3 linked regions of the Oryctolagus cuniculus genome follow. The main gene of each other region encodes a partner of the protein of the gene in region 2 in a complex. Links are inferred from orthologs where the notes say so. Each region holds a gene or a part of one and is shown on either strand. Other genes may lie near its edges.

Region 1 (4,096 bases), on a different chromosome or scaffold from region 2:
CCCTTACTTTCCTCAAATGTCCTTATATTGGCTGACAAAGCTCCATTTTTTTTTAAAAGATTTATTTATTTATTTGAAAGTGAGAGTTACAGAGAGGCAGAGGCAGAGAGAGAGAGAGAGAGAGAGAGAGAGAGTCTTTTATCTGCTGGTTCACTCCCCCAAATGGCCCCAAAGCCAGAGCTGCACTGATCTGAAGCCAGGAGTCAGGAGCTTCTTCCAGGTCTCCCACACAGGTGCAGGGGCCCAAGCACTGGGCCATCTTCTACTGCTTTCCCAGGCCAGAGCAGAGAGCTGGATGCGAAGTGAAACAGCAAGGACATGAACTGGCACCCATATAGGATGCCAACGCTGCAAGCCTTGGCTTTACCTGCAACACCACAGGGCCAGCCCCATGTGTTGCCTTTCTATTCTCCCTTTCTCACTGCCTTCAGCCTTACTTCTTTGCCATTCCTACAAGCACACTGCCAGACTTAGGACTATCACACCAGCAGTTCCCTCTGCTTCGCTATTTCCCTCAATTCCTTCGTCTTTGCTATATGCCACCATCTCAGTAATCTAAGTATCATATTTAAAACTGCAAACCTGGGCCGGCGCCGTGGCTCAACAGGCTAATCCTCCGCCTTGCGGCGCTGGCACACTGGATTCTGTCCCAGTAGCCCCTCTTCCAGGCCAGCTCTCTGCTGTAGCCCAGGAGTGCAGTGGAGGATGGCCCGAGTGCTTGGGCCCTGCACCCCATGGGAGACCAGGAGAAGCACCTGGCTCCTGATCAGCGCAGTGCACTGGCCGCAGCACGCCGGCCACGGCGGCCATTGGAGGGTGAACCAACGGCAAAGGAAGACCTTTCTCTCTGTCTCTCTCACTGTCCACTCTGTCAAAAAAAAAAAAAAAAAAAAAAAAACAACAAAAAAACAAACAAACAAAAAAAAAACAGAAAAACAAAAAACTGCAAGCCTCTCTGCTCTCAGGCCCTAGCATCTTCTAACACTTGCTGATTATGCCAACACTTTGGCGTTGTTTACCAGCATAATGTAAGCCCCCAAAGTATAGCAAAAAGCCTATCACATAAAACCCAACAAATACGTTAGGTGACGAAAGAACAACTTGCTTGCCAGCTTGTCATTTCTGAAGAACAGTCAGAAATTCCCAAGGGATGCGGTTTAAAATGAAAGAAAAAGGTAGAATAATAAAAAAAACCTCAAACCTGAAGGCACTATGGATCTGAAAATTTTTTTTCAGGTAAATCTGAGTTCTGAACACAAGGAGGCTTCACAAAGTTGATGGAAAAATGGAATTAGAAGTCGAACTTTCTAGGGGCTTTTAAAATTTCATTTATTTTGCCGGCGCCGCGGCTCACTAGGCTAATCCTCTGCCTAGCGGCACCGGCACACTGGGTTCTAGTCCCGGTCGGGGCGCCGGATTCTGTCCCGGTTGCCCCTCTTCCAAGCCAGCCCTCTGCTGTGGCCAGGGAGTGCAGTGGAGGATGGCCCAGGTGCTTGGGCCCTGCACCCCATGGGAGACCAGGAAAAGCACCTGGCTCCTGGCTCCTGCCATCGGATCAGTGCGGTGCGCCGGCCGCAGCGCACCGGCCGCGGCGGCCATTGGAGGGTGAACCAACGGCAAAGGAAGACCTTTCTCTCTGTCTCTCTCTCTCACTGTCCACTCTGCCTGTCAAAAATAAAAAAATTAAAAAAAATAATAAAATTTCATTTATTTTAAAGTTAGAAATACAGAGTCGGAGAAAGAGAATCTTCCATCTGCTGGTTCACTCCCCAGATGGCAGCAATGGCCAGGGCTGGGTTAGACTGAAACCTGGAGCTTCTTTCGGGTCTCCCACATGGGTGCCTGTGGCCCAAGCACTTGGGCTACCCTTCTCTGCTTTCCCAGGAGCATTAGCAAGAAGTTGGATCAGAAGTGCAGGGGCCAGGCCTCCAACCAGCTGCCCATATAGGATGCTGGCACTGCAGGCGGAGGCTTAACCTTCCAGGGGCTTTCTGAAGCTCCCCAAAGGGCATGCTGGGCGGATTTCAGTGCCTGGCAAGGCAGGCTGGTTCTGTGCCCTCCACCCACCCTCTCCTACTTGCACACGCACAGAACCTTTGGTTCCGAGTCCTCCCCAGCCTTCTCCCCTGGAACACAAACAGATCACACCAAGAGACTTAACAGATTCTAAACTTTATGAAAAAGGCAACGCGACAATCAACTAAGTCAAACACGAGCCTCCAAATCCCCTCACTCCAGTGCCGTCTTCCCCAACGCCCGCCAGCTCTCGGACCTCTTCACCCGCAGTTCTCAGGGAGCCCCGGCGGTCCTGGTGCTGCGTCCCGAGGGATCCACGTGAAGACAGCACCGGCGGGACACCTCGGCGAGCACTTCTGCACCCGGAAGGCCGGAGAAGCAAGGAGTCGCGGAAGAACCAGTCCACTGGAGACAGGAACGCGCGGGCAACGCCGGCGATCGGGAGGCTCGCTGGAGGAGGCGCCGTCTCAGTTTTCCTCGGGCTTGTCAGCGGGGGGGCCGCAAGGCTGCAGCATCTTCTCCATCAAGTTGAAGCGCACTCGCGCTTTGCTCTCATTCTCCGCGATGGCGAAGTAGTTGAGAAGGTCGAAGTGGCCCATGTAGGAGCAGTAGGAGTCGCGGTGCTGGTTCACCAGCCACTCCCACTTGGTGGTGTCGGCGTGGCCCGTGCCGATGTACTTGGACTGCAGGTGCTCCAGCTGGCTGTGGATGGTGTAGCGGTCTGTCATCTTGCCGCTTTCCCTTTCGCTCCGAAGTCAGAAGTCGCACGAGGGTTAGGAACCGGTCTCGGGTTTCCCGCCGGAGAAAGGCCAGCACACGGAACCGGCAGCCTCGCTCAGTCGCAGAGAAATTGCGTCACAGCGACGGAGTGGCGGAGGACGCGGAAGCGGAAGCACATTTTGAAGCCGTATTGGAGTTGCCCTAGCGACACTGAAACTGTCCCGCCCCTTTAACAGAGTCCCGCCCCCCGCCCTCGGAGAGCGTTGCATGATGGTCCACTTGGTGGTCCGTGGGTGGCCCTGTACTGACGTAGCGTCTTGCATGCTGGGATTTGTGGTCTCTTCCGAGACCGCGGTTTAAGAGCTGAATGGAGGGCAGAACCCCAGAGGCGGGGAGCATGCGTTGTCGGCCCGGTGCTAAGAGAAAGTGGGCCAGTGGGCCAGTGGCACAGGCAACCAAGAAAATAAACCCTTGGTGTAATTAGGCGCTGACGAGGCGGCACGGTAGCCCCTTCACAATCGGGTGGCTTACTGAGGTCGGCAGACGCGACCTCTGGTCCCACGCTCTAGCGGGGCCGCCGTTCCCGTTCGGTGACCCTGCACAGCCCCGGGGCCGAGTCGCTTGGGCGCCCCCGGCGCACACTCCTTCGGTCTCGCCTCTCGGGCTGGTGGCCCCCGGCGACTCCACGCCGACCCCCACGACCCCGGCCCGCACTCGGCCAGGTGCCGCGCGCGCCCGCGTCCCCTTCGGAGCCGTTAGCGCCCGCGGGAAAGGCTTTGTTCCCGCGGCGACGCGTCTGCCTTCGGTTGGCTCCTCCTTTGCATCTGATTTTCGCTTTATGTTTTACCTTTTGGTTTAAAATTCACGGCGGTAGAAATACTTGAGGAAAAAACAAACCCATACTTATCTTAGGATATCCTTTTTGGATATTCGTACAGCCTGATAGATTGTGTTCTCCAAAAAACAGTTGAGGGATAGAGAGACAACTACAGCCAAAGAGAGGAACGCTGCCCGGAGAGCAAGAACTTTAAAAAGCAGTTTTGTTTTGCTCTTTTCAGCTTGACAATTCATTCCTAAAGTGTGGAAAATTTATAAGGTATATCTTTGGCTTCATCCTCTAGGTGTATCAAACCTTGACATTTTGCCGTATTTGTCCTGATTTTGTTTTGATTTTTAAGAGATAAATTCTGCAAATAAACGTTCTCCGCGTTCCCTTCCCTCATCTCTTGGACACTGTCCTGGATTTAATGTCAATCATTCTGTTTTCCAATTGCTGAAAGTTTGTGTATCCATAAACAATAGCTGATAGGCATGGTTTAAACCTATGAGTAGCATATATAATGCTGTAAAAGTTGCTTTT
Region 2 (7,291 bases):
ATGACCCTGCCTGTGGCCTCTGGCTTCCCCTACCCCCAGCTGGAAAATGTGGTACAGGAGAACTGCTCTCTGAGGACACTCAACTCCTCTCCTGTTCTTGTCCTCAGCCCTAGAATCCCTTGATCTGAGGCCAGCGCTGTGGCGTAGCGGGTAAACCCGCTTCCTGCAGTGCCAACATCGCATATGGTCGCCAGTTCGAGTCCCGGCTGCTCCTCTTCCAGTCCAGCTCTCTGCTGTGGCCTGGGAAAGCAGTGGAAGATGGTCCAAGTCCTTGGGCCCCTGCACCCACGTGGGAGACCCAGAAGAAGCTCCTGGCTCCTGGCTTGGTTTCAGCACAGCTCCAGCCGTTGCTGCCATTTGGGGAGTGAACTAGCAGATGGAAGACCTCTCTCTCTGCCTCTGCCTCTCTGTAACTCTGCCTTTTGAATAAAATAAATCTTAAAAAACAAAACATGAATCCGTTGATCCTAGGGTTCCCACAGGGCTAAACACCCCCCACGTGGCCATCCTCAGTCTTGGCACAGGCTGATCCGCCCACAGGGACCCGGATGCTTCTGCAGAGGGTGATAAGGGTAGGCGAGGCCTCTCGGCATTTGTCCTGATAACAGCTTAAGCTTTAGAGACAGCGCCAGATGTTGACATTCGTCCGGAGGCAAGCGTCTGCCTGGGAGGCCCCCGGCCTGGCTTCGGTCAGTGGCTGTTGCCCAACAGCCAAGGAAGGAAGGCAGTCCACTGACTGTGGATACGGGTCTGCAAAACAGCAACCGGCACCAGTGACCAGCTTCACTGGGCTGTTACGAGGACTGCGAGGGCACTGCAGGTAAACATTTGAACACAACGCCTGCTTCCTGGACTGCTCCCTCCCAACATAAGCCCTGACTCCTCGGGGGCTCAGGAGCCGCACCACTCTTGCCCAAGACCAGAAAGAACTGGAAGGGTAGGACTCTAAATCCCCAGGTGACATCAGGCCCAATGTCACGCTGCCGCCACCAAAGAGATCACTCCTGGCAGTCGCGGTCCCCCCTATTGCTCCACCTCTCTCCCACGAGTGCGCCCCTCGGAACCTGCCGGGGCACTGTCCCTTTCTCATCAACTCTGAGCTGCAGGAAGCCGACTTCCAACCTCCCCTACTTCTTGGACAAGCAAACTGAGGCCCAGGGCACTGAGCGGTATTCTCAGGCTCCAGCCCAGAGGGGCTCAGGTTACCTTGGGGCAGAAGGAACCAGAGAATGGTAACCGTAGCAAGCAAACAAGACTAGCTACGTCCTGCAAGCTAAGGGAAGGGCCCACCCAGGTCCCTGCCCACCCAGGTTCAGTTCCCCCAAGAGAGCGGACTCTCCCAAGGCGGCTACAGGAGGACTTTTGCGTAGTTGGCACCCTCTCCACCCGGGGCCCTCCCACGTGACCGCCAGCACAGCTGACTGGGGTCCCTGCCCTGTTAGTATCAGGAAACCCCAGCTGACCAGAGGCTGGGGGAAGGGAGAAGAGCCCGAGGCAAGGGTGTCCACCTGGCCATGATTTCGCTACAGCTCCACAGCCTGGGCAGAGACGGCCAGGGACGCGCGCGGATGGACCCTGCTCCGCGCTAGGGCGGGGTCCCCCTCATTCCCCGGGGCTGAGGGCTGGGCCCTCAGAGAGAGGCACTGACCCGGCTCGAGCGGCGGCCCCGCTGCCTCCGCCTCCGTCCTCATGACCCGCGCAGCACGGGGCGCCCATGGCCCCGGCCCGCTGCGGGCTGCAGCTTCGGCTTCAGCTGGCGCAGGAGCGCAGCCAATGCGTGTCGAACGCCGTAGCCGCCGCCGCCACCGCCACAGCGGGGAGAAGCGGAGGCGGCGGCCGGGCAGCCCCAAGCCCCGCCCCAGCCACTCCAGGTCTTGGATCCGGAGGCCCCGCCCCTCCCCTAATCCCCGCCCCTTCCCAGTCCCAGACTTCGATTCCTAGAGGCTTCCAGCCTCATGATTTAAGCCCGGCCTGGCCATTCACAGTCTCGGTTTCTGGTAGCTCCGCCCCCTTACCGAATCCTCGCGCAGACGCGCGGGCCCTTCCTTCGCTCGGTCCCCCGGAAGCTCCGCCCCTTCTGAGCCCCTCCCCGAGGGCTCGGCGCAGCGCAAACACTGGCTCCCCAGGGGCTCTTTCCCTCAGCAAGCCCCGCCTCTGCCAGGCCCCACCCCTTTGCCGGCTTCAGCTGTAAGCCGGCTCCGGCCCTGTGATTGCCTAGGGTCCAGGCAACCGTACTCTGATCTCTTTAGTGCTGAGCCGGCCCCTGCTCCACTTGGTACCTCAGTTTCTCTGTCCAGACACGACACCTCCCCTCTCTGAGAGTTCCCGTTACCTGGCAGTGCCGGGTTCCAAAGATTAAATTGTGAGGGGAGGTCCCAGCCCTCATTCCCACTTCCTGCTGCCCCGGATCCGAGGACCCAGGCTGTAGATCCCCTCCTTGTCGTCCAGCCAGTCTTTTGTGAGGGGTGCTTGGAAGCGCAAGCCCCCCTCTCCCGTTTCGGGCCCCCGCGTCGGGGCTTCCGGCGGCCCCCGGGCCCTGTCATCAGCCCTCTCTTCCGGCGCCGGAACTATCGTACCTGGGTCCGCGTTTCCCAGCCGGCGGAGTAAGGAGGAAGCGGAGACGAGCTCGCGCTCTGGGACGGTCCCCGCGCGCGGCATTCTGGGAGCGCGTGGTATTCTGGGAGTGCAAGGCCCGCCATTCGCCCCGCTCACGCCTTCTCTCTCGCAGTTGTTGTCGCAGCACCGAAGAGGAGGAAGAAGGGGCTCGAGCCGGTGAGTAGGGGCCGGGGACGGGAAAGGGGAGGCCTAGGCGCTCGTGAGGGATCGGGGGCTGGGGCAGGACGCGCTGCAAGGAACCGCGCAGGGCTCCGGGAGGGAAGGAAGCGGGAAGCCGGGACACCCAGACACCCGCGTCGCCTCGCCTGAGCCTGGGGAGTGAGTTCGTTACCTCCCCCTCGTTTCTGGCTGCTTAGCCTCGTCCCTGAACTCCATCGGCGTCATCCTTGGCCTCCAGCCCCCTTTTCCGGCGCTGATGCAGCCCCTCGTGCTTTCCACGCCATTGCAAAAGCGTTTTCCGAAGTTCCTCTGCTTCTGAACTGTGTGTTCGATTTGGCCTGTAAACGCTGATACCTTTCCATTGGGTCGTTCCTTCCTTGAGATCCCGCGCTGGTTCCGTGCTCTCTGAAACGTAACATTCCAGCTCTGGCGGCGGAGGGCTGGGGATCCTCACGGAGCGAGCCTGGCTGCCCTGTCGTGTTCTCCCTTATTTCGTGCCAGCCTTGCGTCCTTACCTGGCTCAATAAAAACTCCACTGCTTGTCTCTCAACTACGTCGGCAGATCCTTGTGTTTTTCCTCCAAGATAAGCAGTTTCCTACACGTTGTCCCTTTGTGACCGCTTTGCTGTTTTCTCTTTAGCTTTAACAGTAAAGCGAATGGAAAGTCAGAGGCTGAAATAAAAACACAGCCTCCTCTCCTGGATATGTCTGGGTCCTCTGGTTGGTTGGTTTGTTTGTAAGATTCATTTATCTGAAAGGCAGAGTTACACAGTCGGGGTCGGGGGCAGGCAGAGAGAGAGATCTTCCATCCCCTGGTTCACTCCCTCAAATGACTGCAACGGCTGGAGCTGGGGGCCAGGCCAGAGTCAGGATCTTCTCCCCGGTCTCCCACAGGTTCAGGGGCCCAAGCATTTGGCCCATCCTCTCCTGCTTTCCCAGGCTATCAGCAGAGATCTGGAGTGGCAGTAGACAGCCGGGACTTGAACCAGTGCCCCTGTGGGATGCCGGTGTACCCGCTGCACCCCATCGTGGTTTTCAGGATGCAGTCACCCACAGCTGTGGATAGGCAGATGTGTTGCTCAGCATGGACGTTCCGAGCGCCTCTCTCCCAACACACAGACCACATTGGTCACTGGTTATCTTGGCCAAGGAAAAGGGACATGAGGGGCCAGTGTTGTGGGGCAGCTGGTTAAGCTGCCACCTGTGACGCTGGCACCCACGTGAGAGTGCCAGGCTGATTCTCAGCTGCTCCATTTCCTATCCAACTCCCTGCCAGTGCTCCTGGGAGGCAGCAGATAATGGCCTGAGGTTTGAGCCCCTTGCCACCCACATAGGGAGACCCAGATGCAGTTCCAGGCTTTGCAGCCATTTGGGGAGTGGCCCAGCGGATGGAAGATCTCTCTCTCTCTCTCTCTGTATCTGTATCTGTGTCCCTTACTCTGTCTCTAGGTAAAGGGACATGGGAGCAGGTGAGGAGTAGGGAGGTAGGTGGGAGATTCTTTTCCTTTCCGTGAGCTTTCCTTCTGTCCAGCACGCTGTCTCTCCCCTCTTCATATTGTGTGTATTTGCCAGGAAGGCTCCTCCAAGCCAGGAGCTGAGCTGCTCTTGTGTAGAAAATGCAGCTTTGGCACCGGTGTTAGGTTTTATGGGGTCCAGGCCTTGGGGAGACATGGTGCGCACCACACGCGGCCTCTGGCTCTGAAGGCTGGGCTCACTGCTGTGTCTCCCACCACAGCACTCTCCTCCTGCCGAGATGTCCATCGGTGTGCCGATCAAAGTCCTGCACGAGGCCGAGGGCCACATCGTGACCTGCGAGACCAACACCGGCGAGGTGTATCGGGGCAAGCTCATCGAGGCAGAAGACAACATGAACTGCCAGGTACGGGAGGCTGGCGGCGTCTCCATTGTGCCCGACGTGTGGCAGGCGCTGCCGCGGGCTCCGGGACTGTGGGCCTGAGCAAGAGACAGTACTGGGGCAAAGAACCGTATGGAGATTTGGAATAGTTAACTTTGGCCTTTGCCTTCTCCATCCCATAATTGTCCCCTCCCAACTCCCCATTTTAAAGATTTATTATTTATTTGAAAGGCAGAGAAAGAGAGGGAGAGATCTTCCATCTACTGGTTCACTCCCCCAAATGGCCACAGTGGTTGGATCTGGGCTGATCTGAAACTGGGAGCCGGGAGCTTCTCCCAGGACTCCCACGTACAGGGACCCAAGCACTTGGGCCATCTTCTACTGCTTTCCCAGGTGCATTAGCAGGCTCAGAAGTGAAGTAGCTGGGACTTGAACCGGTGCCCGTATGGGATTCCAGTGTTGCAGGCAGTGGCTTCCCCTGCTACACCACAGTGCCAGCCTCTCCCATGTTTTGGGGCCTGTTTGAGAGAAATGGTGTTACCACCTTCAGCAGAATTCTTCAGGTTCAGGGCCATTACCCTCCCACCCCCACCACCCCACACAGTGAGCAGAAACCTGTGTGCTCTTTTTCTTAGAAGAGGGGTCATGTTTGATTACTGCAGCTGCCTAGTGAGGTAAATGAGTTTGGTGATAGTCTCGGCATCCAGGAAAGAGGGAGAATGTGGTTAAAGGACTCATCTACTGAATATTGCTCTGCTAATAAATGATAGAGCAACTTTCTAACGTGGTGTCTTTCTCAAAGCACTGCTTTTTACATAGTCAGGTAAATTTAAAACAAAAAGATTTATTTGAAAGGCAGAGTTACAGCGAAAGAGTGGGAGAGATAGCTTCCATCTGCTGGTTCACTTCCCAAATGGCCGCAATGGCCGGAGCTGAGCCAAGCCAAAGCCAAGAGCTTCTTCTGGGTCTCCCACATGGATGCAGGGGCCTGAGCACTTGGGCCATCTTCTACTGCTTTCCCAGGCCATAGCAGAGAGCTGGATCAGAAGTGGAGCAGCCGGGACTCAAACCGGCGCCCACATGGGATGCTGGCACTGCAGGTGGCGGCTTTACCTGCTATGCTGCAGCACCATCAAGTATTTTTTATAGCATTATTTTCCAGAGTGTCAGCACATGTTCTTTTTTTGTTTAAAATTTTATTTATTTATTTGAATGGCAGAGGGAGAGAGATCTTGCATCTGTTGGTTTATTCCCCATATATTCAAAGTAGCTGGAGCTGAGCCAGGCCAAGGCAGGAGCCTAGAACTCTACCCAGTTCTCCCACGTGGGTGGCAGAGGCCCAAGCACTTCCAAGGTCTCCCACTACCTTCAGAGGCGTGTTAGCAGGGAACGGATCAGAAGCATGACAACCACAACTTGAACCAGCCTTCTTTTTTTTTTTTTTTTTTTTTTTTAATTTGACAGGTAGAGTTATAGACAGTGAGAGAGAGAGACAGAAAGGTCTTCTATTGGTTCACCCCCTAAATGGCCGCTACGGCCAGCACTGCACGGATCCAAAGCCAGAAGCCAGGTGCTTCCTCCTGGTCTCCCATGCTGGGTGCAGGTGCCCAAGCACTTGGGCCATCCTCCACTGCCCTCTGGGCCATGGCAGAGAGCTGGACTGGATGAGGAGCAATTGGGACTAGAACTCGGCGCCCATATGGGATGCCAGCACTGCAGGTGGAGGATTAACCAAGTGAGCCACGGCACTGGCCCCTGAACCAGCCTTCTGATACGAGATGCTGACATCGCAATCCGCTGCTTAACCCACTGCACCACAATGCCCTTTATTCTTTAAACCGTTGGTTAGGAGCCCAAGCTCTGGGAGCAGGAATTTTGCCTGATGGTTAAGATGCCAGTTGGGATTTCAGTATCTCGTGTCTAAACACCTGTATTTGAGCGCCGCTTCCACTCCTGGTTCCTTCTAACTGTGCACCCTGGTGGGCAAGAAACTGAGTCCATAGCACCCACCTGAGAGACCTGGATTGAGTTCTTGGTTCCAGGTTTTGCCCTGGGCCAACCTTTTGCGGGCATTTTTGGAGAGTGAACCAGTGGATGGGAGCTCTCTCTCTTTCTCAAGTAAATATGTTTTGTTTTGTTTTGTTTTTTAAGGAACTTGGGTTTTGGAATCAGAAATTGGAGAGACATGACTCTGAACCCTGGCTATATGACCTCAGGTTTAGTAGCCACATACCTTCCTCATCAGTGAAATGGGGGTGCTGCTATTTTGGGTGCCCTGAGACATAGCTGCTAGGACAACTGGATGTGTGAGATAGTGGAAAATGACAGGGAGAATGAGAAGAGGGAGCAGAACTGTCAGACCCGGAAGCTGGTTTGCCCGCGTAAAGGAAGGAGGATTGAGCGGGGAGAGCCTCAGACCCAGCACGGCCCTGAGGAAGCCTCAGCAAGGCAGAGGCTGCTCCTCAGGGGGGTCTGGCCTGGGGCAGGAATGGCCTGGGCTCTCGTGCCTGTGCTGTGGGCCAGCATTGGCTGGCTCCCCAGGGAGGTGGGGCCCTCAGCGTGCTGTGGTGGATTCCAGAGGCGTCAGCTTGCTCTCTGTTGAGAGGTCTGAGCACGCCCAACACCACCTCAGGAATAGCACCCACACCCCAGGGCAGTGTC
Region 3 (5,763 bases), on a different chromosome or scaffold from region 2:
TGGACCCTGTGTGGGCCACAGCGTCCACAGGCTTCTGCTGTGTGTGCTGCTGCATCTGCTGAGTTTCAGACGCCCCAGGAAAGCTCATGGACCTCTGCACCCCGTTGGACACTGCTGCGCGGGAGGTAGAGACAGGTGCATAGCCCTCTCTCAGGCCCTCTGCTTCAGCACCCCCTGCCCAGCCTGGGGGCAGAACTCAGGTTCACCAGGACCTCGGGGGAGGGGCTGGCCTGGGTCCCCTGGGGCGAGACTTCATTGCCAGTGCCTGCCCAGGGCTGGCGAATGAACGGCCCGGTGCCCTCGTGTGCCTGGGTGGCCATACCGTGAGGCTGGGGTGTTGTGTCCCGACCCTGCCCTGTGTGGGAGGCTGGAGCCCCGACCCTACAGGGGAGGCCTTCTTTGGAGGAGGGTTGCACACAGAGTCCCTGCCTGGGGAGATGAGAGGGAGCCAGGGCCAACAGGCAGGCACCAGAAACCCGAAGGGGCTTGGAGGCCCCACTGGGGTTGGCCTCTGGCCTCAGAGAAGGCAAAGGCCCCATCCCGGGACAGCAGCCCCAGGACCCCCCGTGGGGCGCCCCGGCTGTGGCCTCCGCCTTGGGGGAGGCCTCTTCAGAACGCAGCTCCACTGCCCCCTGGTGGCGCGGCCTGCAGGCAGCCAGGCATGCCGCCCCCCCCCCCCACACCCAGTGCAGCAGGCACTTGAGAACCACGTTTATTTGTTTGTTTTTTTCTTCTCTTTGTCAGAGTATAAAAAAGTGAACGCAAGACAAGACAAGACAGGGGCACGGGGTGGGCAAGACAGAGGCAGGAGGATGGGTGGCGGCAGGAAGGGCTCCCTGGGGAAAGACCTATAGCACAGGGTGGTCGGGGACAGGGACACGGGCAGCTGGGGGTCATGGCACAGGACGGAGGTGCCAGGCCAGTTTTCCGAATGCCACTCGGGACCTGCGGCTGCGATGACCAACCTCGCACCCAAGGCCGGCTCAGGGCACACAGAGGGGCTGGGCTCAGCCTCATCTGTCCCTGAGAGAGCCCGGGGGGGGGGGGAGTGGGAGAGGGCTGCCCTGCACCCAGGGAGGGGATGCTCTGGCGTCTGTGGGCAGATGTGGGGCCGAGGCCCTTGGGACAGCCTCTCCTGTGAATCCAGATCTTCCCGGGAGAGTGACAACGGAAAATGTCTGTGCCACTGACCCGGGCAGAAGATGCTGGATCGCAATAGTCCCCCAGGCACCGGCTGAGGAGCAGCACTGAGCCCAGGCCCCTGCGTGAGGTCACCTCATTGGGTGGCTTCGTCTTCACGGGTGTGGATGCCCCCTGGCCTCAGTTCTCACGGACTCGGAGCAGGGAGCCAGCTTCAGCATGCGCTGGGTGTGGCAGCCAGCCGCTGGGTTCTGATGACCATTCCTCTGGGCCGTGAGTTGGGCCTGCCGGGCCCTGGCAGGGACAGGAGGGGCACCGAGCTAGGAGGGCTGAGGAGTTCATCCCAGCTGGGTGGCAGACGGGTCAGTGCTGTGACGCTGCAGGCACCTGGCCATCTCTGGCTCGAGAGAGCTGCTGCACACGCGGCCAGCAGCACGTGCTCTGGTCCCAGGAGGAAGGGCGCCCAACCCCGATGCGGCGTGGAGTGCCCACCCAGAAGCACCTGGAGGTGAGCGTCCTGGTCCCGCCTGTCCACAGAACTGGGCTCTGCTGCCCAGGCGTCCACAGGGTCCGGGAGCTGAGCCGCCAGCACCATTTCGTCCCTGGCCACGGGCTCCAGTCACAGTGCTGGTCTGGGGTTTGAGCCTCAGCAGCAGCTAGGACATGTTTCCGAAGGAAGCTGCGGGGTAGATGGGGGCGAATGGGGGTGGACCCTTCCCGGGCCCCTCCAGCCAGTCTCCTGAGATCCTTCAGAGACCCCTCCCAGCCCCGCCCCCAGCCTCTCCCACAGACCTTGGCTGAGCAGCTGCAGGCTCCGCCCCTCCTCGCGCACCTGCAGGTGCAGCACCTGCTGTAGCACCTCCTGCCTCTGGGCCTCCTGCGCCAGCCCCATGCGTTGCAGCTTCTCCGCATTCAGCCGCAGCAGTGCCCGGCCTGCAGGGAGAGGGGCGGACAAGCTGAGGCCCACAGGGACACTCGGGACTCACCCAGGGGCGCGGGAGGGCAGCAGCCGGCGTACCGGTGATGGCGTGTTGGGAGAAGGCCTCGACATAGACGAGGTAGTTGTGGGGACAGTGCTTCTTGAGCCACTTGCACACGTCCTGCTGAGTCCACAGCACCACGGGCCGCGTCAGGCCGCCCAGCGGGGGGCTGGTGTGGTACAGGCCGTAGTGGTCCGAGTACAGCTGGCCCTGCAGGGAGAGGAGGGTGGTGGGCGCAGTGAGGGTGGCGTAGTGGGCGCGGGGGGCGGGGGCGGGCGGCGGGGTACCTGGGGGGCCTCTGTGCCTGGCTGCTGCAGGAGCTTGATGGGTCTGCTGCCGCACGCCCTCTGGCTGCGGGGGTCGTGCCACGTGAGGCTGGTGCCCGGCGTTCGAGGCAGGTGGCAGGGGATGCTCTCGGCGGACACCGTGTGCTCCAGGACGGTCCGGCAGAAGCTGAAGTGGGCGGTGGCTGTGTGCGGGGGCCCTGGTCAGGCTCCTGAGAGGCAGCTCCCCTGTCGTGCCCGTCTCCTCCCCACCCCTGAGGGGAGTCACATCCCCAAGCCCCCCCCCCCCCGGCAGGAGTCCAGAGACTGGAGGCACCACGCCTCCTACCTGCAGAGGACCCACACTCCAGGGAGCCAGGCAAGGGGCGGCAGGGGCGGCAGGGGCAGCCTTGAGCTATACACCTTGCCTAGGGCTGGCCTCTGAGCCTCCCGCATGCAGCACAGGACCTGCATATGCACACACGGGACCTGGGCATACACACACAGGATTAGTGCACACACACACGAGACCCGTGTACACACACACATAGTACCTGTGCACACATACACATGGGACCAGAGCACACACACGGGACCTGGACACACACATACACACAGGATCAGTGTGCACACACACAAGACTTGCATGTACACACACGAGACCTGCACATACACACATGGCACCAGGGCACATAAACAGAACCTGTGCACACACACACAGGATCTTCATTCACATACATGGGATCTGGGCACACACACAAGGACCTGTGCACACACACTGGACCTACAGGCACTCACATGGGACCTGGGCACACACACAGGACCTGCAAACACACATATGGGACCCATGCACACACACACTGGACCTACAGGCACTCACATGGGACCTGTGTGCGTGTGTGCATACGTATGGGACCTGTGCACACACACATGGGACCTGCAGGCACACACACAGGACCTGTGCACACACACTGGACCTACAGGCACTCACATGGGACCTGTGCACACATACATGGGACCTGCAGGCACACACACAGGACCTGTGCACACACATGAGACCTATAGGCACGCATATGGGACCTGTGCACACACATAGGACCTGCAAACACACACACTGGATCTACATGCACACACACACAGGACCTGTGCACACACACACAGGACCTGTGTGCACACACACGGGACCTGCAGGCACACACATGGGACCCACATGCACACACACAGGACTTGCAGACACACATATGGGACCTGTGCATACACAGGACGCACACACACACAGGACCTGCAGACACACATATGGGATCTGTGCACACACATGGGACCTGTGCACACACATGGGACCTGGGCACACACAAGGGACCCACACACACACACACACACACAGGACCTGCCTTTGCAGAGGGCAGGCCCTGCCTGCTGGGCAGCCTTTGCAGGGAGACGGTCCCACTGAAGTCGCCCTGGCCCGAAACACTGTGTCCACAGCCCTGCCCCATGTCCCTCCTGACGGCCTGCCCTGGCAAATCCTCCCGCACCACAAGCTGGGCCCAGGACAGCACCTGGTGCTTAGCACAGGGGTGCAGCCATTGCCCAGAGACCCCAGTGACGCCCCTTCCTCCCTGCTCCTTCAGCCTGTTTCCCGGTGCTGGTACCCCCGGGGCAGGCAGCGGCTCCGCGGACCCTCTCCCATCCCGGTGGGATCCCGGCTGCTGTCAGGTCGCGGTGCACAGGCGGCGCCCCGGGCCCCGCCCCCGACACAGCCGGCGGGTCCTGCGGCGGCCGGGCTGGCCCTGGTCTCGCGCTGAGCAATGGGGGAACCCTCGGTCTTGCACCCCGTAAGGCTCCGGCGACCCTGGGAACCTCAGAGGCCCAGACTTAAGGGTGTGGCCACTGCGGCCACCGAGGGAGCCCGGTGCGGCGGGGACCGGTTCCCAGGATCTCCGGGCGCTCGGCGCCGCGCCCCGGGAACCGCATCTGCCCGGAGCCGGCGGGGCCCGCCCATTTCCTGCCGGCACCCGGCGCGGGTTGATCCCTCCCCGCCTCAACGTCCCGTTCCAGGAGGGAGGGGCAGGGGAGCGGGGCTGCAGCCTGGGTACCTCCCGAAAGGTGACCCCGGTGCGGGACAGGCGCGGCCGGGCTCAGCCCACCCCACGCCGCGGAGGCCGGCCGCCCCCAGCGCAGCACAGAGGCCGTGGGGACACGCTCAGGCCAGGGGGCCCCCGCCCGCGCCCGCGTCCCGCTCACCGTCCACATCCCGGCGCTCCCCGAAGCCCGCGCGCACAGCCGCGGCGCGGCCTCGCGGGGGGCTTCGGTTGGCCCTCAGCTCGGCGAACATGGGGCCCGCGGCGCCGCCCGCGCACGCCCCTGGCCGCGCAGGCGGCCGGTGTGGCCGGCGGGGAGCGCGCGCCGCCCCGCCCCGCCCCGCCCGGCCGCCCCGCCGAGCCGGTTCGGCCCGCGAGTCTGCGCGGCGAGGCACCTGCCGCCGGCCCGAGCGCAGCGCGCTCCAGGCGCTCCGAGGTGGGGCGGCGCGCGCGGGGCCGCGTGTGCCTGGCGTGTGTGTTCTCGGGGCGCGAGTCGCCGCGCACCTGCCGGGGTCGCCCTCTCCGGGGGCTTTGACCGACCGGGGCCAGGCAGGGGGCCCCGGCCCCCTCGTCCCCGCTGATATAATCGGGTTTCTTAGGCCTCTCCCTCAGATGGGCACCTGCTTCCCAGAGAAGCCCGCGCGACCCTCCCCTGCCATCCCCCACTCCTGCTGGCCTGGAGGCAGCTCCCCTCGCCCTGCAGTCCCAGCGCGAGCCGTGGGGGAGCTGCGCTGGCAGGTGCAGGCTCGAGAACGCACAAGGGGCGAGAGAGGCTCGAGGAGGCCGAGGCCGTGGGGCAGCGGGGGCGCCTGCTCCAGGGTCCTGGCTGGAGGTGCTGGGGACCGGCACAGGGGTCTTTGGCCTGAGCTGTGAGGAAAACGAGGCTTGCGAGTGGCTGAGCTTTCTGCCTTGCCTGGGCCCTGTGGGGGCTGCAGAATCGCAGGTGCAGCACCCGGTCCTCCACCGGCCTGCGTGTCCTGGGAGGCAGTGGGGACCTCGAGTCACGGGGTCCCTGCCCCCGGGAGTGAGGCCTGCGTGGAGCTCCGGGCTGGCCCAGTGGGCAGGGGCGGCCTGATTCCAGCCCTGGCTACTCCCGCTTCCGATCCAGCTCCCTGCCAGTGCACTTGGGAGGCCGCAGAGGATGGCGCAAGTGCGGGGCCTCTGGCATCCACAAGGGAGACCCGGTGGAGCTCCCAGCTCCCGGCTTCAGCCCAGCGCAGCCCTGGTCCTCGTGGCCATTTGGGGCGCGCCTGGCAGCTCTGTCACTCCGCCTTTCAGAAAAACAAAGGAGTGCGTGCCCAG

What was found. The genes of interacting proteins can lie anywhere in the genome.
Region 1: SNRPD3 (region 2) and SF3B5 share a complex: the UniProt entries of both Homo sapiens proteins name them as parts of the minor spliceosome. The link is inferred for Oryctolagus cuniculus from reciprocal best matches to the Homo sapiens genes SNRPD3 and SF3B5.
Region 3: SNRPD3 (region 2) and PRPF6 share a complex: the UniProt entries of both Homo sapiens proteins name them as parts of the U4/U6-U5 tri-snRNP complex. The link is inferred for Oryctolagus cuniculus from reciprocal best matches to the Homo sapiens genes SNRPD3 and PRPF6.

What each region holds. Positions count from the first base shown.
Region 1 is NC_091436.1:24,439,723-24,443,818, reverse strand, and holds SF3B5 (splicing factor 3B subunit 5), read right to left. Parts: upstream 2,889-4,096; 5' UTR 2,745-2,888; coding exon 2,484-2,744; 3' UTR 2,157-2,483; downstream 1-2,156. UniProt on the Homo sapiens protein: Component of the 17S U2 SnRNP complex of the spliceosome, a large ribonucleoprotein complex that removes introns from transcribed pre-mRNAs.
Region 2 is NC_091452.1:31,110,522-31,117,812, reverse strand, and holds the start of SNRPD3 (small nuclear ribonucleoprotein Sm D3), read left to right. Parts: upstream 1-2,658; 5' UTR 2,659-2,772; intron 2,773-4,510; 5' UTR 4,511-4,528; coding exon 4,529-4,654; intron 4,655-7,291. Other genes in the region: protein GUCD1, read right to left, coding at 2,333-2,543. UniProt on the Homo sapiens protein: Plays a role in pre-mRNA splicing as a core component of the spliceosomal U1, U2, U4 and U5 small nuclear ribonucleoproteins (snRNPs), the building blocks of the spliceosome.
Region 3 is NC_091442.1:203,446-209,208, reverse strand, and holds the start of PRPF6 (pre-mRNA-processing factor 6), read left to right. Parts: upstream 1-1,307; coding exon 1,308-1,648; exon of another isoform or gene 1,649-1,796; coding exon of another isoform or gene 1,797-1,819; intron 1,820-1,932; coding exon of another isoform or gene 1,933-2,073; intron 2,074-2,158; coding exon of another isoform or gene 2,159-2,330; intron 2,331-2,407; coding exon of another isoform or gene 2,408-2,589; intron 2,590-2,806; coding exon of another isoform or gene 2,807-2,872; intron 2,873-4,624; coding exon of another isoform or gene 4,625-4,715; exon of another isoform or gene 4,716-4,794; intron 4,795-5,763. Other genes in the region: SAMD10 (sterile alpha motif domain-containing protein 10), read right to left, coding at 1,797-1,819, 1,933-2,073, 2,159-2,330, 2,408-2,589, 2,807-2,872, 4,625-4,715. UniProt on the Homo sapiens protein: Involved in pre-mRNA splicing as component of the U4/U6-U5 tri-snRNP complex, one of the building blocks of the spliceosome.